4 linked regions of the Anolis sagrei genome follow. The protein of the gene in region 1 purifies or fractionates together with the protein of each later gene. This does not show direct contact. Links are inferred from orthologs where the notes say so. Each region holds a gene or a part of one and is shown in the gene's direction. Other genes may lie near its edges.

Region 1 (7,349 bases):
TTTGATTAATGCCATATTTCTTGGCTCTGTTGTTGTTGTGAATGATAAGTAAAATACCCCGGCCAGGAGGGCATTCCTCACCATGTCCTGCAGCTCCCGCAGCTGCTTCCCGGTGAGGCCCCCAATGCCCAGGTCATCCTCATCCTCATCCAGCTGCGAAGGCCCTGATCCAGAGGAAGAGGAGGAGGGGCCTTGACGGATGAAGAACTCCTCGTACTGGTCCAGGAGGAGACCGTGCAGCATCCAGGCCGATAGCTGCTTGTACATGGCTGCGTGGCAGGTGGCCAGGATTCTGCAGCGGGGGGGGGGGGGGGGGGGGAGGGGTACAGGTGAAGAGGAGGGGCTTCGGTGGTGACCTTTGGCATTGAGAAGCAGGTACCCCCTCCTAATCCTCCTCTTATCAGTGGGCCACTTCAGTAAGGAGACAGGGAGAAGTGTCAGAAATATAAATAAATTAACTAGGTATTCTTAATTACAAAAATGTGAGTCAAGCACTGAAAGGGTTAAATCGATGCAATGACTCAGCAAAAGCTGCAGTTCTATATAGGCAGCTTAGAATACCTCGTTATGAGCAGGCCTCAGTGGGAGGAAGGCCTCAGTTTGAGAGGCTTCAGTCTAAGTACACCTCAGTGTGAGAGAGAGCCAATGTGAGAAGGCCTGTGTGTGTGAGAGGCCTCAGGAGGCCTTAGTGTTAGAAGGCCTGGTGTGAGAAGCTTTGGTGAGAGAAACCACAATGTGTAAAGCTACTGTGTGAAGCTTCAGTTTGAGAGGAGGCTCTGTGAGAGCAAAGCTGTTTATCTGCATGAGAATGAAGCCCAGCGTGGAAGCAAAGAAGGAAGTATAAAGGACTTTATTTGTGTTATGAAAACTTTGTTTTTGTAAAAGTGAAACCATATTATTTTGCTAGAAAGAAAAGCCTTCAAAGGAACTTATAACGTTGGTCTGTGTGTTTTTGTTCTTTTTATCATTTTGGCTAATGGTGCTGGTTCACACTACTGCCAATAAGTTACTCCAGTATACTGTTATGGGGAGTGGTCTTTTGTTAATAAACCCTCTCTCCCAACAAGGAGGTCAAATAACAACAGGGGATGAAGTGAGATTGGGGAGGGGGGGGGAGAGCACCTACAGCAAGCAAAGGAAGGATCAGTACCTCTCCAGGGCCTGGCGGACAGGGGGTAGCCCTCCACGGCTGTGCCTGTGGACCACCTCCAGGATCTGGCAGCCATGGATCTGCAAAGAGAGAGAGAGAGAAGCTGTCCCACAAAATCAACTTAATGTTGTGTTTCAGCATTGAGAGGGATTCAATGGTTTCCCCATATTTCACAAAATAATAGTATAATGCAGATGCTTCTAGACATGCATCACAATTATATACGTAATGCCTACTGAGATGAGAAGAAATGGCAGTCCTGCCTTGCTGGACACCACTGTTGTGGTGTAGGAAGGAGCAGAGTCCTTGGGAGGGGGAACATTTTCTTCTAGCTTCAGTCGGCTTCTGTAAACAGAGGTCTACTCTTCCCTCCTTCCCTCCCTTGGTGACCCCCGCTGACCACCAACCCCCTCCTCCTTGCACCTACCTTCTGGGTCTTGATCTGTTCTACCACAACCATCAAGGAGGGGAAGAGGAGCTGGAACTGCAAGAGAGGATGAGGAAGGAAGCATCAAAGGTGTACCTGGGCCTTTCCTGCAGCATCTCTTCCTGGCCAAAGGGGGGCAACAATCATACCTGGTCCAGGGAGTAGTTGAGGTGGGCGATAGTCAGGTGGGGGTCGGCCAGGAACTGCAGAGAGAGAGAGAGATGGGTCAGAGGAGCCCCCCCTTGAATCATAGAATCCTAGAGTTGGAAGAGACCTCGTAGGCCATCAAGTCCAACCCTCTGCTGAGAAGCAGGAAAATCACACTCAAAGCACCCCCAATAGATGGCCATTCAGCCTCTGTTTAAAAGTGTCCACCACACTCCAAGGCAGAGAGTTCCCCTGCTGAACAGCTCTCACAGTTAGGAAGCTCTTCCTAAAGTTTGGGTGGAGCCTTGTCCCCAGATCCCGCTGTGACCCCCTCACCTCTAGCTCCAGGTCCAGCAAAGCCTGGCGGTAGGGCTGCAGCACGGCGTCAAGCCCTGCACAGAAGGCGCGTAGGTAGATCCCCGGCGGAGGCAACTCCTGCAGTAAGAAGGAAAGAAGGGTCAAATAATGACTGATTTATGGACAGATCTGGCTGCAATCTATGTTTGAAGGAATTCAATTGAGATGAGAAGTGGCATACAGGGAGCACACAACCCCTCTGTTGTGTCCGCTCCACTGGCTGCCAGTCTGCTACCGAGCACAATTCACAGTGTGTGGCACTGAATTGCTGCCTGTTGCAAGGGTGCCCTGAGTCCTCCTCCTGATTGAGAAGGGTGGGGTACAAATGTGACCAATACATAAATAAATAACATAAATACTACCATAAAAATGATGAAGATGATAATAATAATAATAATAATAATAATACATTTATTTGCAAGTGTATTACACTAAATGTCCTATTGAATAATCCCTCATTGACATAATACTATATAAACATATCCAACAAAAATTATATATAAAAATGGTAACACACACACACAATTAATAGTGATAAAAATAATACATTTATTTAATAATACATTAAATGTCCAATTCCCCTCCTGGAAATGATAATATATAAAATAATGACACTTCCAATAATAATTGCATATAGAAATGATCACACACTCAAACACACACACACACAAATAGTGATAAAAATAATACATTTATTTGCAAGTGTATTGCATTCAATGTCCAATTGAATAATCCCCTCCTGGAAATGATGATAATATAGAACATAATAACATTTCCAATAATAATTATATACAAACTAATAACATGTGTGTGTGTGTGTGTGTGTGTATATATATATATATATCTCATAATAATAATACATTTGCAAATGCATTGCACTAATACTCCTATTAAATAATCCTTCATTGACGTAATACCATATAAAATAACATATCCTACAATAATTATATATAAAAATGATAATACACACACACACACACAAATAGTGATAAAAATTATAAATTTATTTGCAAGTGAATTGCATTCAATGTCCAATTGAATAATTCCCTCCTGGAAATGATAATAATATATAAAATAACATTTCCAATAAGAATAATATATAAAAACAATAACATATATTTGTATGTATATATATATGTGTGTGTATATATAATAATAATAATAATAATAATAATAATAATAATACATCTGTTTGCAAGTGTATTGCACTAAATGTCCTATGGAATAATCCCTCATTGATATACTATATAAAGGTAAAGGTAGTCCCCTGACATTAAGTCCAGTCATGTCTGACTCTGGGGTGTGGTGCTCATCTCCATTTCTAAGCCGAAGAGCCAGCGTTGTCTGTAGACACCTCCAAGGTCATGTGGCCGGCATGACTGCATGGAGCGCCGTTACTTTCCTGCCGGAGCGGTACCTATTTATCTACTCACATTTGCATGTTTTCAAACTGCTAGGTTGGCAGAAACTAGGGCTGACAGCGGAAGCTCACGCCGCTCCCTGGAATCGAACCTGCGACCTTTCGATCAACAAGCTCATAATAATATATTATTATTATTTTATATTTTATATTATTATATAAAACAATAATATAGCCAACAATAATTATATATTTTGTATATTTTTATATACAAAATAATAACATATCCAATAAATAAATATTATATATAAAAACGATAACATATGTCTATATATATATATATATATATATATGCTGTAACAATGCTCATAATAATAATAATACTACTACATGTATTGGCAGGTGTCTTGCATGCCATGCTGTCCCAATGCAGCTTTGCTCACCTGTGGGGGCGGGGCGGGCGGGAGCGCCGGGGGCGGGGCCTGCGCGGGAGGGGGCGGGGCCTCGCCGGCATTGCTGCTCTGATTGGCGGGCTCGATGAACTCGCTGAAGCGGAGGTAGAAGGAGCCGAGGCGGAGGAGGCGGCCTAGCAGCGCGGCCTCGCTCGGGTGAATCAGCCCCGGCACCGCTTCGGGAGCCACCTGTCGGAGAAGAGGGAGAAGCGCGTTTCAGGAGAGACACAGAGAGAGACACTTGGGGGCGGGGCCAAGGCAACCAGGAGGGGGCGGGGCCACACCTGCAGCCCCCCGCTGGCCACGAAGAGCCCCCCCGCGTAGCCCCGCAGCGCCAGGAGCAGCTCGTGGATCATCCCGGAAGGAAGCAGAGGGGCACGTGACTGACTGGCGGAGGCGCGGAGGGGGCGGAGCTAGCCGATTGGGCGGGAACGTTTCCCGCGCATGCGCCCAAGGCCCGGGAAGGGCTGCTTCCGGCCGCGCCTTGTCAGTCAGTCAGTCAGTCAGGCAAGGCAGGAAGGAAGGCTAAGAGCGCGCCTTCTCCGCTTGGAGAGAGAGAGAGAGAGAGAAAGATGTCGGCCGCGGAGGAGCTTGAGGGCGCGGCTCGGCCCCACTATGGCTGTGAGTGGCCTTCCGTCCTCATTTTCTTTCCGAGGGGAAGGGGAAGGAGACCCTTCCTGACGCCCCTCCCTCTATTTTCCCCCTTCTGTAGCGGTGCTGGACAACGAGCGGATGACGGCGGAGGAGATGGACGAGAGGCGCCTGCAGAACGTGGCCTACGAGTACCTCTGCCACTTGGAGGAGGCCAAGCGGTGAGGAAATATAAGGGGGCGAAGAGGGCGGGGCCTGTGAGAAAGGGGTCTGGGTAGGCGTAAGCTGCCGACTGTCAGCCCACCTTACTGTTGACCTAAGTAGAAGAGAAAGGGGCGGGGCTTGTGAGAAAGGGGCGGGGCTTGTTCTGCGGAAGAGAGGAAAGCCGGGGCTTTAGCACAGCCCAGCAATGATAAGATCTACCAGCAGAAAAAGGCTGCCAGTTTGAAGCCCTGGGTAGGCATAAGCTGCCAACTGTCAGCCCAGCTTACTGTTGACCTAAGTAGAAGAGAAAGGGGCGGGGCTTGTGAGAAAGGGGCGGGGCTTGTTCTGCAGAAGAGAGGAAAGCCGGGGCTTTAGCACAGCCCAGCAATGATAAGATCTACCAGCAGAAAAAGGCTGCCAGTTCGAAGCCCTGGGTAGGCATAAGCTGCGGACTGTCAGCCCAGCTTACTGTTGACCTAAGTAGAAGAGAAAGGGGCGGGGCCTCGCGTAGAGGGGGCTTTCTTGCTCTCAAGGTGGAGGGACCAGGAAGTGCCTTGCTCTACCCATCTTTATTTTCTTCTATGGCTCCTAGTTTCTCGTTCCTCTGCCTTTTCTATACTCAGCTTGATATTGACAAGCTGGAATGTGTCCAGAGGAGAGCCACTAAAATGATCAAGGGTCTGGAGAACAAGCCCTATGAGGAGCGGCTTAAGGAGCTGGGCATGTTGAGCCTGAAGAAGAGAAGGTTGAGAGGGGATATGATAGCCATGTATAAATATTTGAGAGGAAGCCACAGGGAGGAGGGAGCAAGCTTGCTTTCTGCTTCCCTGGAGACTAGGACGCGGAACAATGGCTTCAAACTACAACTGGATAGCCCATTAGGTCTCTTCCAACACTATGATTCTATGAGGGAGAGCCAAAGTTGGCTCATGCCTGGCCTAGAAGATGATTTGTACAATATTTAAGAGGGCTGGAGTAAGTAGACTGAGAGCTGTTGCAAAATCCACCTCTTTGGGCTGAACCCCGGTCACAAGTTAGGGTCTGAGGTCCTCAAGAGTGAGAGGGGGACTCTGAGGGGCCTCCTCCTTTCTTCTCTCTTTCTACTCCTCTTCCACTCCTTCCTTCTTCTTCCTCCTCCTTATCCTCCTCTCTTTCTCTGTTCCTTTCCATAACCCCAGAGCTACTTCCCAGTCTTTCTAACACTCTGAGGGTGTATTTCTAAAGACAGTGATACCTTGACTTATAAGTTTGATTCGTGCCGTGAACAAGCTCTGAACTCAGATTCCTCTCATCTGAACATGAGGAAGAACTTCCTGACTGTGAGAGTCGTTCAGCAGTGGAACTCTCTGCCCCGGAGTGTGGTGGAGGCTCCTCCTTTGGAAGCTTTTAAACAGAGGCTGAATGGCCATCTGTCAGGGGTGATTTGAATGCAATATTCCTGCTTCTTGGCAGGGGGTTGGACTGGATGGCCCATGAGGTCTCTTCCAACTCTTTGATTCTATGATTCTATCTGGCAACTCTCTCTCCGTGTAGATAATGTAGAAAGGCAAGGACTTTCAGAAAAACATCTATTTCTGTTTTATCGACTACTAGCCGTCCCCTGCCACGCGTTGCTGTGGCCTACATAGGGGTTCTGTGTGGGAGGTTTGCCCAATTCTATTGTTGGTGGGGTTCAGAATGCTCTGTGATTGTAAGTGAACTATAACTCCCAGCAACTACAACTCCCAAATGTCAAGATTCTATTTTTCCCAAACTCCACCAGTGTTCACATTTGGGCATATTGAGTATTCATGTAGAGTTTGGTCCAGATCCATCATTGTTTGAGTCCACAGTGATCTCTGGATATAGGTGAACTACAACTCCAAAACCAAAGGACACTGCCCACCAAACCCTTCTAGTAGTTTCTGTTGGTCATAGGAGAACTGTGTGCCAAGTTTGGTTCAATTCCATCGTTGGTGGAGTTCAGAATGGTCTTTGATTGTAGGTGAACTATAAATCCCAGCAACTACAACTCCCAAACGACAAAATCATTTTTTTAAGAGTGAAGGACATACATTGGGTTGTTATGTGTCTTGTGTCCAAATTTGTTGTTAATTCACCCAGTGGTTTTTGAGTTCTGTTAATCTCACAAACAAACATTACATTTTTATTTATATAGATTCTAAAGCCTTAGACTTTGTGGATCATAATAAATTGTGGCAAGTTCTTGGTGGTATGGGAATACCAAATCACCTTGTCTCTCTCCTGAGGAATCTGTACAAGGACCAAGTAGCAACAGTCAGAACTGACCATGGAACAGCACACTGGTTCAAGATTGGGAAAGGCGTACGGCAGGGTTGTATCCTCTCACCCAACCTATTCAACTTGTATGCAGAACACATCATGCGGTGTGCAGGGCTTGATAAATGCAAGGCTGGGGTAAAAGTTACTGGAAGGAACATTAACAACCTTAGATATGCAGATGATACCACTTTGATGGCCGAAAGTGAGGAGGAGCTAGGGAGCCTTCTGATCAAGGTGAAAGAAGAAAGTGCAAAAGCTGGGTTGCAGTTAAACATAAAAAAAACCAAGATTATGGCAACCAGACTGATTGACAACTGGGAAATAGAGGGAGAAAACGTGGAGGCCGTGACAGACTTGGCATTTCTAGGTGCAAAGATT
Region 2 (7,415 bases), on another chromosome or scaffold:
ACCCTCAAGCAGCAGAAGGACAAAGGAGGGGAAGAGAAGGAGGAGGGAGGGGGGAAATGTGTGTCTTCCGTGACGTCACATCCTGGCGGGGTTATTTACTTTATTTATGGTGTCAGGACTCAAATTGAGAATACAGGTCTAATGCATTAAAAGCCACACACACACACAAAGTTTGCAAATTTGGCATTCTATTATATTTCCTTTGACCAGTAGCTGGCCCCTTGGAGTGCCTCTGGTGTTTCTATAGGAAGTGTCTATAGGAAGGGGTTGAGAAGGGCGGGGTAAAAGTACCAGAAATAAATAAAATAAGTGTCTTAGCCTGCCACTTTTGGACTCTCGCTTGCTATAGGAAGGGTCTTAGCCTGCCACTTTTGGACTCTCGCTTGCTATAGGAAGGGTCTTAGCCTGCCACTTTTGGACTCTCGCTTGCTGAGGTATTAATGGATTAGCCTGCCACTTTTGGACTCTCACTTGCTATAGGTAGGGTCTTAGCCTGTCACTTTTGGACTCTCGCTTGCTGAGGTATTAGTGACTTAGCCTGCCACTTTTGGATTCTCACTTGCTATAGGTGGGGTCTTAGCCTGCCACTTTTGGACTCTCGCTTGCTATAGGAAGGGTCTTAGCCTGTCACTTTTGGACTCTCGCTTGCTATAGGAAGGGTCTTAACCTGCCACTTTTGGACTCTCGCTTGCTATAGGAAGGGTCTTAGCCTGCCACTTTTGGACTCTCGCTTGCTATAGGAAGGGTCTTAACCTGCCACTTTTGGACTCTCGCTTGCTATAGGAAGGGTCTTAGCCTGTCACTTTTGGACTCTCGCTTGCTATAGGAAGGGTCTTAACCTGCAACTTTTGGACTCTCGCTTGCTATAGGAAGGGTCTTAGCCTGCCACTTTTGGACTCTCGCTTGCTATAGGAAGGGTCTTAACCTGCCACTTTTGGACTCTCGCTTGCTATAGGAAGGGTCTTAGCCTGTCACTTTTGGACTCTCGCTTGCTATAGGAAGGGTCTTAGCCTGTCACTTTTGGACTCTCGCTTGCTGAGGTATTAGTGACTTAGCCTGCCACTTTTGGATTCTCACTTGCTATAGGTGGGGTCTTAGCCTGCCACTTTTGGACTCTCGCTTGCTATAGGAAGGGTCTTAGCCTGTCACTTTTGGACTCTCGCTTGCTATAGGAAGGGTCTTAACCTGCAACTTTTGGACTCTCGCTTGCTATAGGAAGGGTCTTAGCCTGCCACTTTTGGACTCTCGCTTGCTATAGGAAGGGTCTTAACCTGCCACTTTTGGACTCTCGCTTGCTATAGGAAGGGTCTTAGCCTGCCACTTTTGGACTCTCGCTTGCTATAGGAAGGGTCTTAGCCTGCCACTTTTGGACTCTCGCTTGCTATAGGAAGGGTCTTAGCCTGCCACTTTTGGACTCTCGCTTGCTATAGGAAGGGTCTTAGCCTGCCACTTTTGGACTCGCGCTTGCTATAGGAAGAGTCTTAGCCTGCCACTTTTGGACTCTCGCTTGCTATAGGAAGAGTCTTAGCCTGCCACTTTTGGACTCTCGCTTGCTATAGGAAGTGTCTTAGCCTGCCACTTTTGGACTCTCGCTTGCTGAGATGTTAGTGGCTCAGCCTGCCACTTTTGGATTCTCGCTTGCTATAGGGTCTTAGCCTGCCACTTTTCGACTCTCGTCTGCTGAGGTATTAGTGGCTTAGCCTGCCACTTTTGGACTCTCACTTGCTATAGGTGGGGTCTTAGCCTGCCACTTTTGGACTCTCGCTTGCTATAGGAAGGGTCTTGTTCATTTGTTCAGTCGTTTCTGACTCTTTGTGACTTCATGGACCAGTCCACGCAAAAGCTCCTTGTTGGCTGTCACCACCCCAGCTCCTTCACGGTCAATCCAGTCACTTCAAGGATCCCATCCACCCACCTTGCCCTTGGTCGGCCTCTCTTCCTTTTTCCTTCCATTTTCCCCATCAGGAGCCCAGGTGTTTCTCAGATGGAAAAAGTCAAATACTTTTGTGGCATGATTTTCAGTAATAAATTTGTTACCTTCTGCTATAAACATATGAAAATAGGGCATAAAGCCTTGATTAAATTATACACACCAAAATGACCAAGGCTTAACCCAGTGGTTCTCAACCTTCCTAATGCCGCGAACCCTTATTTATGTGTCATCAGCAACCATACCATTGTATTACATTTCTAACAGAACAAAACAAGCAAACAGATAAAAAAACCCACAAATTTTGCAAACTTGGCAGTTGATTAGATGTCTTTTGACCAGTATCTGGCCCCTTGGAGTGCCTCTGGTGTTGCCGCAAGGAGGTCCTCCCTTGTGCATGTGGCGGGGCTCAGGTTGCATTGCAGCAGGTGGTCAGTGGTTTGCTCTTCTCCGCACTCGCATGTCGTGGATTCCACTTTGTGGCCCCATTTTTTAAGATTGGCTCTGCATCTCGTGGTGCCGAGCGCAATCTGTTCAATGCCTTCCAAGTTGCCCAGTCTTCTGTGTGCCCAGGGGGGAGTCTCTCATCTGGTATCAGCCATTGATTGATGGTTCTGGGTTTGAGCCTGCCACTTTTGGACTCTCGCTTGCTGAGGTGTTCCAGCGAGTGTCTCTGTAGATCTAAGAAAACTATGTCTTGATTTAAGTCATTGACGTGCTGGCTGATACCCAAACAGGGGATGAGCTGGAGATGTCTCTGCCTTGGTCCTTTCACTATTGGCTGCCACTTCCCGGCGGATGTCAGGTGGTGCAATACCGGCTAAGCAGTGTAATTTCTCCAGTGGTGTAGGGCGCAGACACCCCGTGATAATGCGGCATGTCTCATTCAGAGCCACATCCACTGTTTTAGTGTGGTGAGATGTGTTCCACACTGGGCATGCATACTCAGCAGCAGAGTAGCATAGCGCAAGGGCAGATGTCTTCACTGTGTCTGGTTGTGATCCCCAGGTTGTGCCAGTCAGCTTTCGTATGATATTATTTCTAGCACCCACTTTTTGCTTGATATTCAGGCAGTGCTTCTTGTAGGTAAGAGCACGGTCCAGAGTGACTCCCAGGTCTTTGGGTGTGCTGCAATGCTCCAGTGGGATTCCTTACTAGGTGATCTTCAGAGCTCGGGATGCTTCTCTGTTCTTGAGATGAAAGGCACATGTCTGTGTTTTAGATGGGTTAGGGATCAGCTGGTTTTCCCTGTAATAGGCAGTAAGGGCACCTAGAGCTTCGGAGAGCTTCTGTTCAACCATCTCAAAGCTCCCTGCTTGAGCAGTAATGGCACGATCATCAGCATAGATGAATCTCTCTGTCCCTTCTGGCAGTGGCTGGTCATTTGTGTAGATGTTGAACATGGATGGAGCAAGCACGCTCCCCTGAGGCAGGCCGTTCTTCTGTTTCCGCCATTTGCTTCTCTGGCCCTGGAGCTCAACAAAAAAGCTCCTGTTTTGTAGCAGGTTTCCTATGAGGCGGGTGAGGTGGTTGTCCTTTGTGATACTATACATTTTTCTCAGGAGGAGGTGGTGGTTCACAGTCTCATAGGCTGCTGACAGGTCTACGAAGACAGCTCCTGTGATCTGCTGCCTTTCAAAGCCATCTTCTATGTGCTGAGTCAGGTTCAGCACTTGCGATGTGCAGCTTTTGCCTTTTCTGAAGCCAGCTTGCTCGGGGGTCAGACATGGGTCTAGATTTTCCACAATTCTATGCAAAAGAAGTCTCTCCAGAACTTTGTAGAGGTGGCACAACAGGGAGATTGGTCTGTAGCTTTTTGGGTCACTACGGTCTTTGCCTGGCTTCAAGATGGCAATGACTCTTGCTTTTCTCCAGATTTTGGGGATCTGACAGGATGCAGTGCAGTTGTTGAAGGGAAGGTTGAGAGGAGACATGATGAGGGCCATGTATAAATATGTGAGAGGAAGCCACAGGGAGGAGGAGGGAGCAAGCTTGTTTTCTGCTTCCTTGGAGACTAGGATGCAGTGGAACAATGGCTTCAAGCTACAAGAGAGGAGATTCCATCTGAACATGAGAAAGAACTTGAGAAAGAGCCGTTCAGCAGTGGAACTCTCTGTCCTGGAGTGTGGTGGGGGCTCCTTCTTTGGAAGCTTTTAAGCAGAGGCTGGATGGCCATCTGTCAGGAGTGATTTGAATGCAATATTCCTGCTTCTTGGCAGAATGGGGTTGGACTGGATGATGACCCATGAGGTCTCTTCCAACTCTTTGATTCTATGATTCTATGTTGACAGGCCTAGGAAGCCAGGCTGACCCAAGAAGAAGAAGAAGAAGAGCAGGAGGAGGAGGAGGAGGAGACGCTCGTCACGTGACGCCCCCTCACGCCTTGTTTTCCCCAAGCGAGGGGCGGAGCTGCGCGCGCAACGCGTGCGTGGTGACGTAAGCTGCGCGACGAAAGAGAGGAGAGAGAGAGAGAGAGGGCGGCTTCGTCCCTTCGTTCTTCCCCTTTCCCCCTCCCTTTTTTTATTTTATTAACCCCCCCCCGCTATTAACTTTACCTGCCCCCCCTCTCTTCGGTAACGTGGGCGCGGCCTAAAGGAAGGAGAAGAAGGAGGCGCCTGTGCTTCCGCCCTTCCGCTGGTTGCCATGGCGATGGCGGGCTCCGGGCCTAGCGCGCCGCCTCAGCCTCATCCTCCTCCTCCTCCTGCTCTTCTCAACGCCGCTTCTGCCTCTTCTTCCTCCTCCTCCTCTTCCTCCATGCAGCCCGCGGGCGAGACGAAGGTGATCTACCACCTGGACGAAGAGGAGACGCCTTACCTGGTGAAGATCCCGGTCCCGGCCGAGCGCCTCACTCTAGGCCACGTCAAGGCCGCCCTGGCCAGGCCTGGCGCCAAGTACTTCTTCAAGAGCATGGACCAGGACTTCGGGTGAGGACTCCCGAAGGGGGAGAAGACAGACATCCCTCCCCATGTGCCCCCAAGGAAGGGCCTTGGGCGTTTGGGGAGGGCCCTCTTCTGAGGCCCTGCCCTGCCCTTCAACTCCATTCTTTACAGGGAGATCCTACCCAAGCCCTCCCAACAGATGGCCTTCCACTCTCCAATTATTATTGTTATTAGAAGTATAGAATCCTAGAAGGGGGCCCCAAAGGCCACCCAGTCTGACCCCATTCTCATCTACTTGAATATCTTACCCAAGCCCTCCAGCCTCTGATTATTACTGTTATTATTTATTTATTTATTTATTTCATTCACTTATACCCCGCCCTTCTCACCCCGAGGGGGACTCAGGGCGGCTTACAGGGAGGGCACAATTAGATGTCCAATCACACAACAAGTAATCCAAAAAATATAACAATTCAGCAGTTAGATTAAAACATCAATACATAGTAAAATCATAAAACCTAAACCAATCTCATGTCAGAGTCCATATATCAGTCCATACATCTGTTCTATTCCGTTTGTCCTTGTCTATCACCAGGTCCTTGAGTTAGTTGTCAGAGTGACCAAAAGCTTGGTCCCACATCCAGGTCTTTAGTTTTTTCCTAAATGCTAGGAGGGAAGTCGCCGATCTAATCTCCCCGGGGAGTGAGTTCCACAGGCGGGGGGCCGCCACCGAGAAGGCCCTGCTCCTAGTCCCCGCCAGCCTCACTTGTGAGACTGGCGGGGTCGAGAGCAGGGCCTCCCCAGAAGATCTTAAACTTCGAGGTGGGATGTAGAGGGAGATCCGTTCGGACAAGTACACTGGGCCGGAACCGTATAGGGTTTTATAGGTTATTAGAAGCATAGAATCCTAGAAGGGGGCCCCAAAGGCCACCCAGTCCAACCCCATTGCGTGTTATTGTCTATATATTATTTATTATTTATTTATTTACTTTGCTTATATACCGCTGTATCTCAAGCCCGAAGGCGACTCACAGCGGTTCACAAACAGTAAAAACAGTAGAAACAGCAGTGGTTCCATACAACATATAACAATTGACTTAACACATTATCCATAAATTACCAATAAACAATTACAATGCACAATTATTACAAAAAAAACAACCGTACCCAATCTTCTCATCACCCAAGCGTAGTCCAGGTTCGTCGTCCATTGTTCCATTCCTATGTTCCATTACCAGATTGCACTAAATTACTCAAACGCCTGCACAAACAGCCAGGTCTTCACCTTTTTGCGGAATACCATTAGAGATGGTGCTAGTCTAATGTCCGTAGGAAAGGCAGTGGTTCTCAACCTTCCTAATGCCGTGACCCCTTAATCCAGTCCCTCATGTTGTAGTGACCCCCAACCATTATATTGTTTTCGTTGCTACTTCATAACAGTCATTTTACTACTGTTACAAATCATAATGTAAATATCAGATATGCGGGATGCATTTTCAGTCACTGGACCAAACTGGGCACAAATACCCAATGCACCCACATGTAAATGCTAGTGGGGTTGGGGGAGGATTGATTTTGTCATTTGGGAGTTGTAGTTGCTGGGATTTATAGTTCACTTATAATCAAAGAGCATTCTGAACTCGATGGATTTGAAACAAACTTGGCTCCCATGACCAATGGAAAACACTGGAAGGGTTTGATGGGCATTGACCTTGAGTTTGGGAGTTGTAGTTCACCTATATCCAGAGAGCACTGTGGACTCATGCAATGGACCAAACTTGGCACGAATACTCAATATGCCCAAATGTGAACACTGGTGGAGTCTGGGGAAAATAGATCTTGACATTTGGGAGTTGTAGTTGCTGGGATTTATAGTTCATTACAATCGAAGAACATTCTGAACTCCACCAACGATAGAATTGGCTCAAACTTCCCACATGGAATCCCCATGACTGTCATAAAATACTGTGTTTTCTTATGGTCTTTGGCGACCCCTCTGACACCCTCTCGCGACCCCCTCAGGGGTCCCGACCCCCAGGTTGAGAAACACTGGCGTATGGGGAGGGCCCTCTTCTGCTCCGCCTGAGGCCCTGCCCTTCCCATCAGCTCCATCCTTTACAGTGAGATCCTGCCCAAGCCCTCCCAACAGATGGCCCTCCAGTCTCCGATTATTATTGTTATTAGAAGTATGGAATCCTAGAAGGGGACCCCAAAGGCCATCCAGTCTGACCCCATTCTCATCTACTGGAATATCCTACCCAAGCCCGCTCAACAGATGGCCCTCCAGTCTCTGATTATTATTGTTATTAGAAGTATAGAATCCTAGAAGGGGACCCCAAAGGCCACCCAGTCCGACCCCAAGCCCTTCCAACAGATGGCCCTCCAGTCTCTAATTATTATTGTTATTAGAAGTATGGAATCCTAGAAGGGGACCCCAAAGGCCACCCAGTCCGACCCCAAGCCCTCCCAACAGATGGCCCTCCGGCCTCTGATTATTATTGTTATTACAAGTATAGAATCCTAGAAGGAGACCTCAAAAGCCACCCAGTCCGACCCCATTCTCATCTGCTGGAATATCTTACCCAAGCCCTCCCGGCAGATGGCCA
Region 3 (7,965 bases), on another chromosome or scaffold:
TCACTGGACAGGGGCAAACAGATCCCAACACTGTCCCTCCTTTAATAAGGAATTCACACCACTTTGGCCCTTATAGCGTTTGAGGGGATGTCTCTTTAGTAAAACCTTCGCTGCCACCATAAACTAAAGAATCAGGAACCCTCTAGCTATTTAGAATGTTAAAAAAAAACTGTTTATTCCACCAAGTACTGTATATTACCAAGGGCTTCTTTGAGGGAAAACAGGAGAGGTTGGTTCAAAAAGGAAAGTGACTCAAACCACAAATGCCACTTGACTCAGGCTTAAATTTTAAAAATAACAAGAAAGGTTTATTGAGTAGAAGTTACAGAATAAAAGTTAATGCAGGTTCATAAGCTTGTCTGTTACAATTAAAGTGTTCTTGTTCTTAAAAGGCGTAACGGTTGCTTGAGAGAATGGTTCTATTCTTTGTTACAATTTTTAAACAAAACCCAGCTATTTCTTTTCTAAAAATAGCTGTAACCAGTCTGCCACAGCCTGCTTTGCTGTGCAAACTTCAGGCAAGCTGCCTATTTCCTAACAGAGACTCCTAAAACTCTAATCCTACTCTAACATCACCCAGAACTGAACTGACTTGTCAAAATAGGCTTCTCTCTTTCCCTCCATCTGTCTAACTCCACCCCCCTTTTCCAAACCAATCCTGGCTGTTGCTGGGCTGGCTCAGGCCTAGGCCACTCCCCCTCTCTGAACTGGAGTCTTCCCTAAACCAAGATGGCTCCTGCAGCTCTCTGCCAGGCCTACTAAGCTGAAACTACCTAGCCTGTCTCTTCCTAGGCCCTGCCACCCCCGGCTGGCAAGGTAAGGGATCTTGACATTAGTTTTGAGTGATCTAACTCAAAATCCGCTGGACGAATTGCCACCAAATTTCGCAGCAAGACACCTACTAACTCAAGGAGTAACCATCACTAAAAAGAATTGATTTTGTCATTTGGGAGTTGTAGTTGCTGGGATTTATAGTTCACCTACAATCAAAGAGCATTCTGAACCCCACCAATAGAATTGGGCCAAACTTCCCACACAGAACCCCCATGAGGAACAGAAAATGCTATGTTCTGGTGGTCTTTGGTGACCCTTCTGACACCCCCTCGCAACCCCCCCCCCGAGGGTCCTGACCCCCAGGTTGAGAAATTCTGCCTTAAGGCCATCCTGTCCAACTCCCTTCACCAGGGTACGAAAACATAATCAAAGCCCTCCTGACAAAGAGCCACCAGCCATAGAGCCACCAGCCATAGATGATCCACATACACACACATATATGTATATAATAGATATAGTATAAATTTGAAAGGGACCCCTAAAGAAGGACAATTATATTGTCATTCTCTGCATTGACTTATAGGGAGGCAGGTAAGAAATTAATATTTTATTAGTAACTAGCTTAGGTACCTGGCGATGCTCAGGTCAGGTCTTTTGTAATGCTACTTATAATAAACAGTCATTGCTTGCTTTTATTTTTTATGGATACTCCAATTAAAAATGCGTATCTATGTAACTATATCGTTTGGGTAAGAGTATGCAAATGATGTGCCTAATTTTAGTATAATTTTGTAACAATTCAGTGTATTTTCTATACTAGTTGACTTAAATAATTCCTGCTGCTAGGAATCCACTTGATACAAATTTCTTCGTTTTTCTAAAAACTTGCATCTGTGATCCAAGCTTATTGAAAAAGCAGAATCATGCCGAACTAAAAGCAGAAACTTGATTTACTGCCCAGCTGAGCAGGTGGCAATTGATGACTATGAAAGACTTTATATCAGGAAAAGAAACATTACCTATTAAGGCTGAGCAAAGCTATATGTTGAATTATGGCCCTTAATATCTTAGCATACAAATATTTAATGCAACATACTTATGTTGATGCATTAAGTAAACCAGATATGACTGGTTAAGAACAAGCAAGCTCCCAAATAGCCAAGTACAACCATGAAAGTTATCATTTCGTAAGGTACAGGGACAAAGTGAAGTATTAAATGTTGCTCTATAAAAAGAACTGTGGAGATCTTTGCTTTCAGTATGAATTTAACGTGACTTCAGATTTTTACACTGGACAACACAGCATCACTTCATACGGCGGTTTTGGCTTAATGAAACTGAGATATCAGTTACATGCACCACAAAATGATATGTCTACTTTATACATTCCTAATTAGGTTACAATCATCTCCAAGCTGAGTATAGTGGTGGACCAATACAAGACCAATCCATCCAGTTCCTAACTGTAAGATACAGTACATATAAAATACATTTTAAACACCAGCTGCTAGTCAGTGTGAATTAAATTCATGCGGTATGAGAATTATGGGGATTTGGATGCATCTAGCCTGAGCAGAGCAAAAAGGATCAGGATTATACAGCTGGTCCTCCATATACTTAGCTTAACCTCTGCACTACTAAAGAGCTCCTGAAAAAGGGTTGGCAATAATACACTGGCCGTGCATTACATTGGAAATTAAGCATGTGATGCTGACATTTCTTGATCCCTTCACCATGCATTCAGTTTAATTTGACCCCACTTGTGTCACATACGTCATTTAAATACTGTAATAAAAATTGGCTCATTCAACTCAAAATATTGCCCTCACCTTCTCTTTGTGTTTCTTTCTTGAATTTGATTTATATTTCCCCTTTCTCCCAAGAATGAAACTTAGATTATGTACAAATAAACCAAACACAAGTGAGGCCTAAAATTAATAGAACTAATTGTATTGATTAATAAAATTAATTAATAAAAGATTTATAATACAATTGAAAAGTCATTAAGCTAAAAGTCCCATCTGAAACAAGTAAGAGGCCTGCCTAAATTAAAAAAGTCTTTGCCTGCCAGTGAGAAGTCACTATGATGAGACTCCAGCTTTCTTAAGTGGGTAGTTCCAGAGATATGGAAGGGACAATGAAAACGAGTTATATTTTATTCATTGCAGGGTGACAGATGTGAGGAGATAATTTGAATACCCAAATAATTCCTTTTAAAACTTTATTTAAATTTGCTTTTTGTCAAAAGTGATAAAAATGAAGTCCACAAACAGAAGTTATATTAAAGAAAGCAAGATAAAGCCAGGCACCATCACGGTAAGGATGTGGGGGAAATGGGAGGGGATGGGTTAAGATTATACTCTTCTCCCCCCCCCCCCCCCTTGCCCATGGGTTGAAGTCCTTAGGCTGCATTTGGGGAAAGAAACAGGTCATAAATAAAATCAGGCTGAGGGGCATGTACTTAGGACCAGCCTAGTTAATTGTGTAAATGCAATTAACCTTCCTAATGTACTGGATTTATTTATGTATATTCCAACTTTTTCTGATAGAGAACTCAAGGAGGCTTGCCATTCAGAATAAAAAAAGGATATAGCTAAAATTGGTCATAGAATCAAAGAAGAATTAGTTAACTATCATATTAAAACAACACTGAATTTAAAAGATTGAATGTATTTAAAACCTAGCAAATGAAAGAAACATATAGCACTCCCTATCAAATCATCATTTTCCACAACCAGAAAATAGCCCAAAGTCTGTCAAAAGAAAAGGTCTTTTCCTACTGGAAGAAAGAAAGCAAAGGGGAGAGGCAAACTACCTGCCTTTAATGGAAAACCTTTATTATTGCCAATACAAACCTCTCTTGATAAGCAAGTATCAACTTTAGAGAGTTTTTTCTTATGAGATGGAGAGAAAATTACATTTTACCTCTCGCCCTTTCATGATCTAGTGATTTACATATCAAAAAGAAGCACTCAGTTTCTATATAGGGGTAGCCTATTGACTATGCAATTAAAATCCAACGTCCAGAAACCAGTGATGCCTTTATTGGGCCATCAAATTGCAAAACATGTACCATACAAGCTTTCAAAGATTCACTGCCTTTTTTTATCAAGCAGATATTAAAATCTTACGGGAAAAGAAAAAAAAATGACAACATTTGAGTCACAGACATGTATTTTGTCTCAAATGTTACTTCCATTGTCAGTCAAGATGGTCTTGAAGGACATCGATGCAGGCACAGGACACTCTCCTTATTTCCCATCTGAGTAACAGGACAATGGGCAGTAAAACACTGGCAATAAAATGTAAATCCCTTGAGCAGCATTAAAGTAATTTCCATTGAGCTGCAGGCAAACTCTGACCTGATGAAGGATAACTTCCCCCTCAGACAACAAACACTGAATTTCTCATGGATTTTCTGTGCTGTTTTGTCCGTCAAAACTCAGTCCAAATTAAAGGGTTTTACCTTTGCTGGAGGAAAAAACCTCAAATCCCATACCAATAGCTCCCTCTTCTTGAAATTTTGCCTGTTGTGGCAACATTCAAATCCAGGACATATATTCAAGGACTGCTTGTTGGCCATGCAACAAAATACAACAAAACCAAGGTCTTGTCATGGAAAGTCAAAATCAAAATATTCAACTCCCACAGGGTATATATCTCCCAAAATTGTAACAAGAAAACTATCAGGACACAAAGGAGCTTTACGATGTTTTCTATGCATATGTGATTGTGTATGCTGCAATCTTGCTTTTTAGATGTGCTTAAATGCTACTCAAAAGTTACAGCTTTTTTTCAAGAACAATAATACACTTTCTCAAGGTGAACAGCAGATTCCTAATGAAGTTAAATCAGTCTCAGTGAATAAAACCACGAAGGTATGAGCATATATAGGCAAACATACATGTGTACACACTGAGCATGCAGTAATTGTGGTTAGGATTACTAAAGCAAAACAGCAGCAAGTGCGTTAGTCATCCTAGAATAGGTTTGGTCTCACAAAGGAGGACAAATATCTCAGTTGAACAACAACACCATTGTATGACATCCTTCTGTAAATCCTGATTGGCTGGAATGAACAGCTGAAGGCTTCCTCATTACTTCAGCTCTGTGTCATACAACACAAGCAAGATATTTAAGCAGGGAATTCACTTCCTGTCTGCCGGATTTGTACATTTGAATTGACTGCATCTACAGAATGCTCTCTTTGCTCAGTTTACATGTTTTGAAAGAGGAATTAAAATAGATCCTGTTTGCTGTGTCTAAGAGTAGAAGTAGAACCTACTTTTAAAGGAACGGGACTAATCAAAAGACGTACTATGGACATAAATCCTGGAACCTAAGTCACTAAATTTATCAAGTTCAACTTAAAACAATTTGTAATACTTTTAAGAAAGATTTAGATGTTAAAAATTGTTTTCTCCTACAGTGCAATGTAAAACCGGCAAGACAGAAAACCTTGAGGCACAAATCACGCTGACGTGACTAATAACAAAAATGTAAAGCATGTAATAAGTAATCTTTAAAACACTCCTTGTCGCAGCACATTACACAAGCCAGTGAGTGGTAAACACTGCCTTTTACAGCTGACACACAGCCGCACTTGTGACCAGGATTCAAGACATGATGGGAAAGTCCAACACTGATCCTAAGTTTAGATTTCCAAGGACTATATAAAGACAACATTGAGATAATGTTTATTGCCAGAATATTTTTTCTAATTTCCAACATTTCAAGCTGGACTATTATCTTGCCAGATGAAAGTATTTTTCAAGATGATGTCGGGAAAAAAGGACAAGCTGAATGTGACATTTTCCTGCTTAACCCTCTCAGTGGATAAATCAAAGACGTAAGTATTTAATTTTGACTGTCCCTTGTGGTATAAATGGACAATAATCTGAAAAAGGGAATAACTGTAGCAAAAAAGCTGTAAGAAATTAAAACATTCATATTTGTATCATCACATTTTTAATATTTGTACAGAGAATAGTTGGATGGGCATGAAACAGAGTTACAACAAAGAAGCTTGCCAAGTATCAAACCCTAGGATAATACTTGTGTTCAGTTGACATATTGCAAATCAAATGGATGAGATTTCAGGTGTCTGAACATTCGTATTACGGTATATTCCGCTTTGAGTATCATTAGAAGTTTTATATGCTTACAAGTGCTGGGATCTTCTCAATGTTAGAGTCAAGTTAATTAAATATTTATATGAAATCTGAAACCATCTCAATGTGAAAAAAGAAAGTGTTTTAAGTATGGCATCCTGACTAATTCAGAACAATTACAGGCCGTCCCCAAGTTACAAACAAGATAACTTCTTAAGTTGAATCTGTATGTAAGTAGGGAAGGGTTAACACCTCTGTGGCATTTGTTTTGCTGTCTGCGTCCCTGTAGAAATAAAGGTTGCTCACCTGTAACCGTATTTCTTCGAGTGTCCATCCGTGAAATTCACACTTATGGGTTATCCTTCGCGCATGCGCAGCAATCCGGAACTTCTAGAAATTTTAAATGATTTTTAAATGATTATTTAAGTACAACACAAGCCCCGCCCATCCCCCGCCCCCCCGGTATATAGGCCCTGCCGCGCGCCTGAGAGGTAGTTCCCAAGCGCCAAATAGCGGCGTAACACAAATAGGCATGACAGAGGGGAGGACGGGCGGGTCGTGTGAATTTCACGGATGGACACTCGAAGAAATACGGTTACAGGTGAGCAACCTTTATTTATTCTTCGTGTCCTCCGTGAAATGCACACTTATGGGTGAATAGCAAGCTACTGACCTGGAGGTGGGTCATGCCACGCAGGAAAACAGTACAGCTCTGCCGAAGGCTGCATCCTTCTTGGCTAGTACATCCAGTTTGTAATGGGATGCAAACGTGGACGGTGTGGACCACGTAGCAGCTCTACAGATTTGATCCAGTGGAACTCCACGCAAAAAGGCTTGAGAGGTGGAGACCGATCTGGTTGAATGGGCCACGAGTTGAGATGGTGGCTGTTTCCCTGCCAATTGGTAGGCTAGGCGGATCGTAGAGACGATCCATGAGGCCAACCCCTGAGAAGATACAGGGTGCCCCATCATGTCTTTCCTGTATTTTAAAAACAGTCTGGGAGATTTTCTGTGTGGGGATGTTCTATGGAGATAGAATGAAAGGGCCCTTTTAACATCTAGTGAGTGGAGGGCCACCTCGAGGGGAGAGGATGGGTTTGGGAAGAAGGCTGGTAGTATGATGTCTTGAGACATGTGGAAGTGGGAGACTACCTTTGGTAGAAAAGTGACATTGGTTCGCAGTACAACCTTGTCATCATGAAATCTTATATATGGTGGGTCTGATCGAAGGGCCGCAAGTTCACTGGTCCTTCTGGCCGAGGTGATGGCCACTAGGAATGCAACTTTCCAGGAGAGGTGAGAAATATCATTAGAGGCCATAGGCTCAAAGGGAGGTTTTGATAGTTGAGATAGTACTAGCTCCAGGCTCCATTGTGGTGGGGGAAGGGAGACAGGAGGATGAACATTTTTATACCCCTTTAGAAACAATTGAACCAAATTGTCTTGAAAAAGGGACGGCAAGCCACGTTTTTTCCTAAAGGAAGAGATAGCTGCTAAGTAACATTTAACAGAGGAGAGGGAGAAGCCTTTCTTGGAGAGGTGGACCAGAAAATCCAGCACCACCTGAGTGGGTGCAGTGAGGGGATTGTGACCCACTGATTTTGTGAACGTTGAGAATATTGACCACTTGTAGGTATATGACCTTGTAGTGGATGGTTTATGAGCAGCAAGGAGTATACGCGATACTTCGTCTGAGAAGTTTAATGTGGTCTGATCCTCCACGCCGTCAGGCGGAGGGAGTGGAGGTCTGGGTGGAGAACGAGCCCGTTCTCCACTGTGAGGAGGTCTGGAATGGGGGTAAGATGGAAATAGTCCCCGTTGGAGATTTGGAGAAGGGTGGCGAACCAGTGTTGGCGTGGCCACCAAGGGGTGATCAGGACGCAGTTGGAGTTGTCCTGGATTATCTTGGCTATGACAGGTGACAGGAGGGGGAGGGGGGGAAAAAGGTAGATGAGGTCTGATGTCCAGCGGAAAAGAAAGGCGTCTCCTAGACAGCCTGGGGATACGTGAGGGCGGAGCCTTGCGCAGTATATTGGGCAGTGAGTGTTCGCTGGGGATGCGAACAGGTCTATTGTGGGTG
Region 4 (7,789 bases), on another chromosome or scaffold:
CCTGTTCATGTATTGTCAAAGGCTTTCATGGCCGGAATCATTGAGTTGTAGGTTTTTTCGGGCTATATGGCCAAGTTCTAGAGGCATTCTCTCCTGACGTTATGCCTGCATCTATGGCAAGCATCCGCACAACCTCTGAGGATGCTTGCCATAGATGCAGGTAAAACGTCAAGAGAGAATGCCTCTAGAATATGGCCATATAGCCCGGAAAAAAAAAAAACTACAACCCAAAATGTTCATGGTTTAAAAGTGTTATTTCCTGTTTAACTATGTGGTACTTACTTTGAAAGTAGTTGTTATATTCCAGAAACTTTGATTTGTGGCTGCCACAAACTACCATATGTTGAATTGGTTGAGATATTAATTGAAAAACTGTAGCAAAATGTGCTGCAGGGTGTCTCGCAAAAACAAAGCTTTTGCAGTTTAATGCACTTTTCCCATGTTTTTATGACAGAACCAATTAGAAAATGACATTTATAACCCAGGAACAAAAATTGTGTTACATAGTGTTATTCCTGAGCTTCCCAGGGGAAAATGTTGCCCATTTTGGGAAACGCAGTTCTAGCTTGTTGCCACAGTTTACTCTATTGAGCGGGGGCGGACATATGCATGAGGTTGAATGTATGGTATCTTGCAAAATAGTCCAGTATTAGAAACATCTAGGCTGTTGCCAGTCTTTTGTACAACAACTTTAAAGGCACAATCACATCTTTTCTTTATGTAAGGAGAACTGAGAATGAATTCTGGTTCTGCCAATGTTTGGATGGATCAGCGGCTTCTCGCCATCATAACTATTTCAATGTTTCATGGAGGTTGCTGTCACTTTCACCTGGTAGGGCAAAGAGGAAACATAGTATTGTAAAAGCAGGCCTTTCTCATATTTAGGGAGGCTACCCTCTAGAACAGAGCTGTCCAAGCTTTTCCTGTTGGTGACACACTTTGCATCTTTTCTTGGCTCAGTAATTAAGTTTTGGTAGCAAACCAGATGTTAAACCAACCTCTTAGAAGAGACATGGACACATATATAAATAGTAATAAGGAAATGCATGGGGATACAACATGTCTCATGAAGCTTCCATTTATATCTTTAGAACTAGCCATCCCCTGCCACACGTTGCTGTGGCCCAGTCTATGTATATGTATTTTTTGTGTGTATATATATGTATATGTGTGTGTATATATGTTTGTGTATATATGTGGTTTTGTGCATGTGTTGTAATGCATTTTTTTGCCTTTTAAGTCCTTTCTGCTGTGTTTTTCAGTGTTTTATGAATGATGGCCACTTGTCTTGTGTCCAAATTTGGTGTCAATTCATATTATAGTTTTTGAGTTATGTTAATCCCACAAACAAACATTACATTTTTATATAGATTATATGATTTATATGAGTGGTTTCTCATTACAATCACGCAGCACACTTACATACCGCCTATTTGGAAAACTTTGAGCTAAAAACTAGAAATATTTTTATCTTCTGTAACCAAAGAACAAAACCTCATTCCAACTTAATATTTGGCAAGTGTTAGACTATGACTCCCATCAGCCTAAGTCAGCATTGCCTGATGGAGAAGAATGAGAGGAGCCATAGCTCACTCCAGACCATCTATCTGGAAGGGCCCTCAGTGAGCGAGTCGCCAGCCTCAAAAAGTCAAACAGAAAAATATTTCTAAAATCTTTTTACACATAAGATGAACTAGTGACAAAGTACAAGACCAGCATATACCAACAACTGAGCCCCTTCCACACAGCTGTATAAAATCCACATGTACTGGATTATATGGCAGTGTGGATTTAAGATTTATTTATCATGTCAGGAGCGAACCAAAACAGTTGTATTGGATTAAAAACAAACAAACAAACAAAACACAAAGTTTTCAGACTTGGTATTCTATTAAATGTCCTTTGACCAATAGCTGGCCACTTGGAGTGCATCTGGTGTTGCTGCAAGGAGGTCCTCCATTGTGCATGTGGCAGGGCTCAGGTTGCATTGCAGCACGTGGTCAGTGGTTTGCTCTTCTCCACACTCACATGTCGAGGATTCCACTTTGTAGCCCCATTTCTTAAGGTTGGCTCTGCATCTTTTAGTGCCAGAGCGCAGTCTGTTCAGCACCTTCCAAGTCGCCCAGTTTTCTGTGTGCCCAGGGGGGAGTCTCTCATTTGGTATCAGCCATTGATTGAGGTTCTGGGTTTGAGCCTGCCACTTTTGGACTCTCGCTTGCTGAGGTGTTCCAGCGAGTGTCTCTGTAGATCTTAGAAAATTATTTTTTGATTTAAGTCGTTTGCGTGCTGGCTGATACCCAAACAGGGAGTGGGCCAGAGTTGTCACTGCCTTGATCCTTTTACTATTGGTTGCTACTTCCTGGCAGATGTCAGGTGGTGCAATACTGGTTAAACAGTGTAATTTCTCCAATGGTGTAGGGCGCAGAGACCCTACACCATGATAATGCGGCATGTCTCATTAAGAGTCCCATCCACTGTTTTAGTGTGATGAGATGTGTTCCACACTGGGCATGCATACTCAGCAGCAGAGTAGCATAGCGCAAGGGCAGATGTCTTCACTGTATCTGGTTGTGATCCCCAGGTTGTGCCAGTCAGCTTTTGTATGATATTGTTTCTAGATCTAAGATAATTGAGTTCAAAGCAGATACTGTTAATTATCAGCCTTGATATTCTTGGGCTCTTTCCAGACAGGCCCTCTATCCCAGGATCTGATCCCAGGTTTCCTGCTTTAAACTGGATTATATGAGTCTGCACTGCCAGATAATCTGGGATTAAACAGAAAACCTGGGATCAGATCCTGGGATACAGGGCCTGTCTTGAAATTGCTCAAGAATTTCAAAGCAGATAATCCACTATATCTGCTTATCTAAGGGCCCTTCCACACAGACACATAACCAAAATCTCAAGTCGGATAATTCACAATCTATGGCAGTGTGGACTCAGATAAACCAGTTCAAAGTAGATATTGTGAAAATTTCTGCCTTGATATTGCGTCCCCCCAGGGGTGAGAAAAGCAGTATATAAATGCTGTAAATAAATAAATATTCTGAGTTGTATGGCTGTGTGGAAGGGCTCAAGAGTCCACACTGCTACAGAACCAAGTTCAAAGCACATTTATTTCGCATCAAAAGCATTGCATAAATGTGTATAAAACTGATAAAAATAGAAGGCGCGCAGGCGGCTAAATATCTTTGGACCAAAAATGGGCAACAGCTACGGCATTGTCTGTAGACTCCAACAATTCCTCCTCTGTACATGAGGCAGGGCACAGTGGACAAGCATACAAAGCAAACAACATGTGATTTTATGCAGCTGTGTGGAAGGGCCCTGGGTTGAGAAAAAGCGGGGGATTCCCTGTTGCGAGGACGCCTCTGGATTCCCCGCCTGTCTGTCCGTGTGCTTCAATGGGATTTTGGCCTGCATCAATAGGAGCATAGTGTCTAGATCTAGGGAAGTAATGCTACCCCTCTATTCTGCTTTGGTTAGACCACACCTGGAATATTGTGTCCAATTCTGGGCACCACAATTCAAGAGAGATATTGACAAGCTGGAATGTGTCCAGAGGAGGGCGACTAAAATGATCAAGGGTCTGGAGAACAAGCCCTATGAGGAGCGGCTTAATGAGCTGGGCATGTTTAGCCTGAAGAAGAGAAGGCTGAGAGGAGATATGATAGCCATGCATAAATATGTGAGAGGAAGCCACAGGGAGGAGGGAGCAAGCTTGTTTTCCGCTTCCCTGGAGACTAGGACGCGGAACAATGGCTTCAAACTACAAGAAAGGAGATTCCACCTGAACATGAGGAAGAACTTCCTGACTAATGTATTGTCAAAGGCTTTCATGGCTGGAATCACTAGGTTCTTGTGGGTTTTTTCGGGCTATAGGGCCATGTTCTAGAGGCATTTCTCCTGACGTTTTGCCTGCATCTATGGCAAGCATCCTCAGAGGTAGTGAGGTCTGTTGGAATTAGGACAATGGGTTTATATATCTGTGGAATGGCTGGGGTGTGGCAAGGAGCTCTTCCCTGCTGGAGCTAGGTGTGAATGTTTCAACTGACCACCTTCATTAGCATTTGAAGGCCTGGCTGAGCCTGGGAAAATCCTCTGTTGAGAGGTGTTAAGATGTGCCTGGTTGTTTCCTCTCTGCTGTTTTGCTGTTGTAATTTTAGAGTTTTTTAATACTGGTAGCCAGATTTTGTTCATTTTCATGGCCTCTTCCTTTCTGTTGAAATTGTGTCCAATTCTGGGCACCACAATTCAAGAGAGATATTGACAAGCTGGAATGTGTCCAGAGGAGGGCGACTAAAATGATCAAGGGTCTGGAGAACAAGCCCTATGAGGAGCGGCTTAATGAGCTGGGCATGTTTAGCCTGATTGTGAGAGCCGTTCAGCAGTGGAACTCTCTGCCCCGGAGTGTGGTGGAGGCTCCTTCTTTGGAAGCTTTTAAACAGAGGCTGGATGGCCATCTGTCAAGGGTGATTTGAATGCAATATTCCTGCTTCTTGGCAGGGGGTTGGACTGGATGGCTCATGAGGTCTCTTCCAACTCTTTGATTCTATGATTCAACACTTTGGCCTCCTAGAGAAAACACGCAAGGGACTTGGAAGCTTCCCCAGCGGACTTGAGGAAGGCTCCTCTACAAGTCGTAGCTCTATATCCACAGTGTATCTATCTGTTCCACCGTTGTCGATTCAAGGCGAATCTCCCACTTTTTTTTTTTTTTGCTTCGCGGAGGCGGCTTTGTGGCCGCGCGGCGGTGACGACACGGCGGTGGGCGGGGCCTCTCGAGGCGGGCGTGGATTCCGGCAGTTCAGGCAGGCGAGCGGGCGGGCGCGCGCTGCTGGGCCGGCGCGAGGCAGCTCTGAGGGGGTCTCATTGAAGGCTTTCGGCGGCGCGAGGCGGATGGGCCGCCTCGAGGAGTGAAGGCTCCCCCTCCCTTCCCCGGCGGTGCGCGCGCGCGCTCAGGCCCGGCTTCGAGGGGCGCCATGGAGGGCGGCGGAGGCAGTAGTGGCAGTGGCCGCGGCGGAGGTCCGTCAGCGCGAGGAGCCGGCCGCGAGAAGAAGAAGGGCAAGAGCCCTGAGGAGCCCACAGTGGCGGCGGTTTCGGCGGGAGACCCCAGCGGAGGAGGAGGAGGAGGGGGGAAGTCCCGGAAGTTTGTGAGTGTTGACGAAAGGAGGGGAGGGGGAGGCGCACCTGTCCGGCGGAGGAGAAGGAGGAGGCAGGCAGGCAGGAAGTTTCTTCCCTCAGTGGCCCTTTCCCCCTCCTTCCGGGTCTCCTCCCTTCCCTGTCCTCACACCTCTCTCTTCTCATTCCCTCACCTGGCTCAGGAGTGGCCTCGTGGCCCAGAGGGGCACTTGCTCTTCAAGTGTCAACCCTCGCCCCATAGTTTCTCGTTCTCTCTTTAAGGAGCCTTCTTCCTTCCTCTTTTAGGCAAGCCCTGTGTGTTCTGTTGCCTTCTGTATGGTTTGGAACAGAGGTGGCCCCAAGTCACAGAGTTCACTACTAGTGCTTCATGGGGATGTTTTGTAATTTAGCTCAAAAGTTGGAGCTCTCAGGGCTTGACTCATGAGCCATCACAGCCCTGCTCACTGCTGTGTACCACTGCTTCTTCCAAAGAGGGTCCGCTTTGCTCAGTGTTGGTGCCATGAAAATGTATTTATTTATTTATTTATTTAAAACATTTATATTCCGCCCTTCTCACCCCGAAAGGGACCCAGGACTGACCACAGCATGTAGAATCATAGAGTTGGAAGGGACCTCATGGGCCATCCAGTCCAACCCCCTGCCAAGAAGCAAGAATATTGCATTCAAAGCACCCCTGACAGATGACCATCCAGCCTCTGTTTAAAAGCCTCCAAAGAAGGAGCCTCCACCACACTCAGAGAGTTCCACTGCTGAACGGCTCTTACAGTCAGGAAGTTCTTCCTCATGTTCAGATGGAATCTCCTTTCTTATAGTTTGAAGCCATTGTTCGGTGTCTTAGTCTCCAGGGCAGCTCCCTAGGACTTCCCCTCACATATTATACATGGCTACCATATCTCCTCTCAGCCTTCTCTTCTTCAGGCCAGACATGCCCAGCTTTTTAAGCCGCTCCTCATAGGGCTTGTTCTCCAGAACCTTGATCATTTTAGTCACCCTCCTCTTGACACAGCTTGTCAATACCTTTCTTCAATTGACTATGTGTTCTGTTGCCTTCTGCCATGGTTTGGAACAGAGGTGGCCCCCAGTCACAGAGTTCACTACTAGTGCTTCATGGGGATGTTTTGTAATTTAGCTCAAAAGTTGGAGCTCTCAGGGCTTGACTCATGAGCCATCACAGCCCCCTGCTCACTGCTGTGTACCACTGCTTCTTCCAAAGAGGGGTCCACTTTGCTCAGTGTTGGTGCCATGAAAATTTATTTATTTATTTATTTAAAACATTTATATTCCGCCCTTCTCACCCCAAAGGGGATCCAGGGCTGAGCACAGTATATAGAATCATAGAGTTGGAAGAGACCTCATGGGCCATCCAGTCCAACCCCCTGCCAAGAAGCAAGAATATTGCATTCAAAGCACCCCTGACAGATGGCCATCCAGCCTCTGTTTAAAAGCCTCCAAAGAAGGAGCCTCCACCACACTCCGGGGCAGAGAGTTCCACTGCTGAACGGCGCTCACATTTATTTATTATTTATTTCGGTTTCTTCTACCCCGCCCTTCTCACCCCGAAGGGGACTCAGGGCGGCTTACAAAGGCACAATTCAATGCCAGCATCACATAACAGTAATAAAACAAATAGCATCAATTAACAGTTAAACAACCATTCCTGCATTACAACAATAAAACCAATACAAACCCAATTACTCCTCATTGATGGTCAGCGTTCGCTATCTCATAGTCCAAATTCCATTTCCACATTGTCAATCCTGTCAGTCCTAATCGTCTGCTTGTCCTTATCTAGTTGTCAGATTGCCCAGTCAGGAAGTGCTTCCTGATGTTCAGATGGAATCTTCTTTCTTGTAGTTTGAAGTCATTCCTCCGCGTCCTAGTCTCCAGGGAAGAAGAAAACAAGCTTGCTCCCTCCTCCCTGTGGCTTCCTCTCACATATTTATACATGGCTATCATATCTCCTCTCAGCCTTCTCTTCTTCAGGCTAAACATGCCCAGCTCCTTAAGCCGCTCCTCATAGGGCTTGTTCTCCAGATCCTTGATCATTTTAGTCACCCTCCTCTTGACACATTCCAGCTTGTCAATACCTTTCTTCAATTGACTAGTGGTTCATGGGGATGTTTTGTAATTTAGCTTTAGTTGGAGCTCTCAGGGCTTGACTCATGATCCATCACAGCCCTCCTCACTCCAGTATACCACTGCTTCTTCCAAATGGGGTCCGCTTTGCTCAGTGTTGGTGCCATGAAATTTATTTATTTTATTTGAAACATTTATATTCTGCCCTTCTCACCCCGAAGGGGACTCAGGACGGAGCACAGCGTATATAAGGCAAACATTCAATGCCAGAACAAGAATTCATATACATAAACATTAAAAACATTAATCAAAATCTATATAAATAAAAATGTAATGTTCGTTTGTGGGATTAACATAACTCAAAAACCGCTGGGCGAATTGACACCAAATTTGGACACAAGACACGTATCAGGCCAATGTGTGACCATCACTCATAAAATCACTGAAAAACATACATATATACACATATACACAAATGTATACACACACAAAGCAACAATCAGGCCAACAAGTGACCATCATAGAATCAAAGAGTTGGAAGAGACCTCATGGGCCATCCAGTCCAACCCCC

What was found.
Region 2: the proteins of IQGAP1 (region 1) and DVL2 purify together in Homo sapiens (affinity purification with western blotting; 3 studies listed by BioGRID, with this or other methods). This does not show direct contact. The link is inferred for Anolis sagrei from reciprocal best matches to the Homo sapiens genes IQGAP1 and DVL2.
Region 3: the proteins of IQGAP1 (region 1) and HECTD1 purify together in Homo sapiens (affinity purification with mass spectrometry; 3 studies listed by BioGRID, with this or other methods). This does not show direct contact. The link is inferred for Anolis sagrei from reciprocal best matches to the Homo sapiens genes IQGAP1 and HECTD1.
Region 4: the proteins of IQGAP1 (region 1) and DIAPH1 purify together in Homo sapiens (affinity purification with western blotting; 3 studies listed by BioGRID and IntAct, with this or other methods). This does not show direct contact. The link is inferred for Anolis sagrei from reciprocal best matches to the Homo sapiens genes IQGAP1 and DIAPH1.

Annotation. Positions count from the first base shown.
Region 1 is NC_090029.1:22,411,981-22,419,329, reverse strand, and holds the start of IQGAP1 (ras GTPase-activating-like protein IQGAP1), read left to right. Parts: upstream 1-4,337; 5' UTR 4,338-4,465; coding exon 4,466-4,514; intron 4,515-4,605; coding exon 4,606-4,705; intron 4,706-7,349. Other genes in the region: TUBGCP4 (gamma-tubulin complex component 4), read right to left, coding at 82-292, 1,151-1,230, 1,578-1,634, 1,727-1,780, 2,061-2,159, 3,885-4,082, 4,178-4,249. UniProt on the Homo sapiens protein: Plays a crucial role in regulating the dynamics and assembly of the actin cytoskeleton.
Region 2 is NC_090026.1:4,388,384-4,395,798, reverse strand, and holds the start of DVL2 (segment polarity protein dishevelled homolog DVL-2), read left to right. Parts: upstream 1-4,398; 5' UTR 4,399-4,573; coding exon 4,574-4,854; intron 4,855-7,415.
Region 3 is NC_090021.1:298,826,801-298,834,765, reverse strand, and holds the start of HECTD1 (E3 ubiquitin-protein ligase HECTD1), read left to right. Parts: upstream 1-4,950; 5' UTR 4,951-5,623; intron 5,624-7,965. UniProt on the Homo sapiens protein: E3 ubiquitin-protein ligase which accepts ubiquitin from an E2 ubiquitin-conjugating enzyme in the form of a thioester and then directly transfers the ubiquitin to targeted substrates.
Region 4 is NC_090024.1:135,161,421-135,169,209, forward strand, and holds the start of DIAPH1 (protein diaphanous homolog 1), read left to right. Parts: upstream 1-4,772; 5' UTR 4,773-4,982; coding exon 4,983-5,153; intron 5,154-7,789. UniProt on the Homo sapiens protein: Actin nucleation and elongation factor required for the assembly of F-actin structures, such as actin cables and stress fibers. Binds to the barbed end of the actin filament and slows down actin polymerization and depolymerization.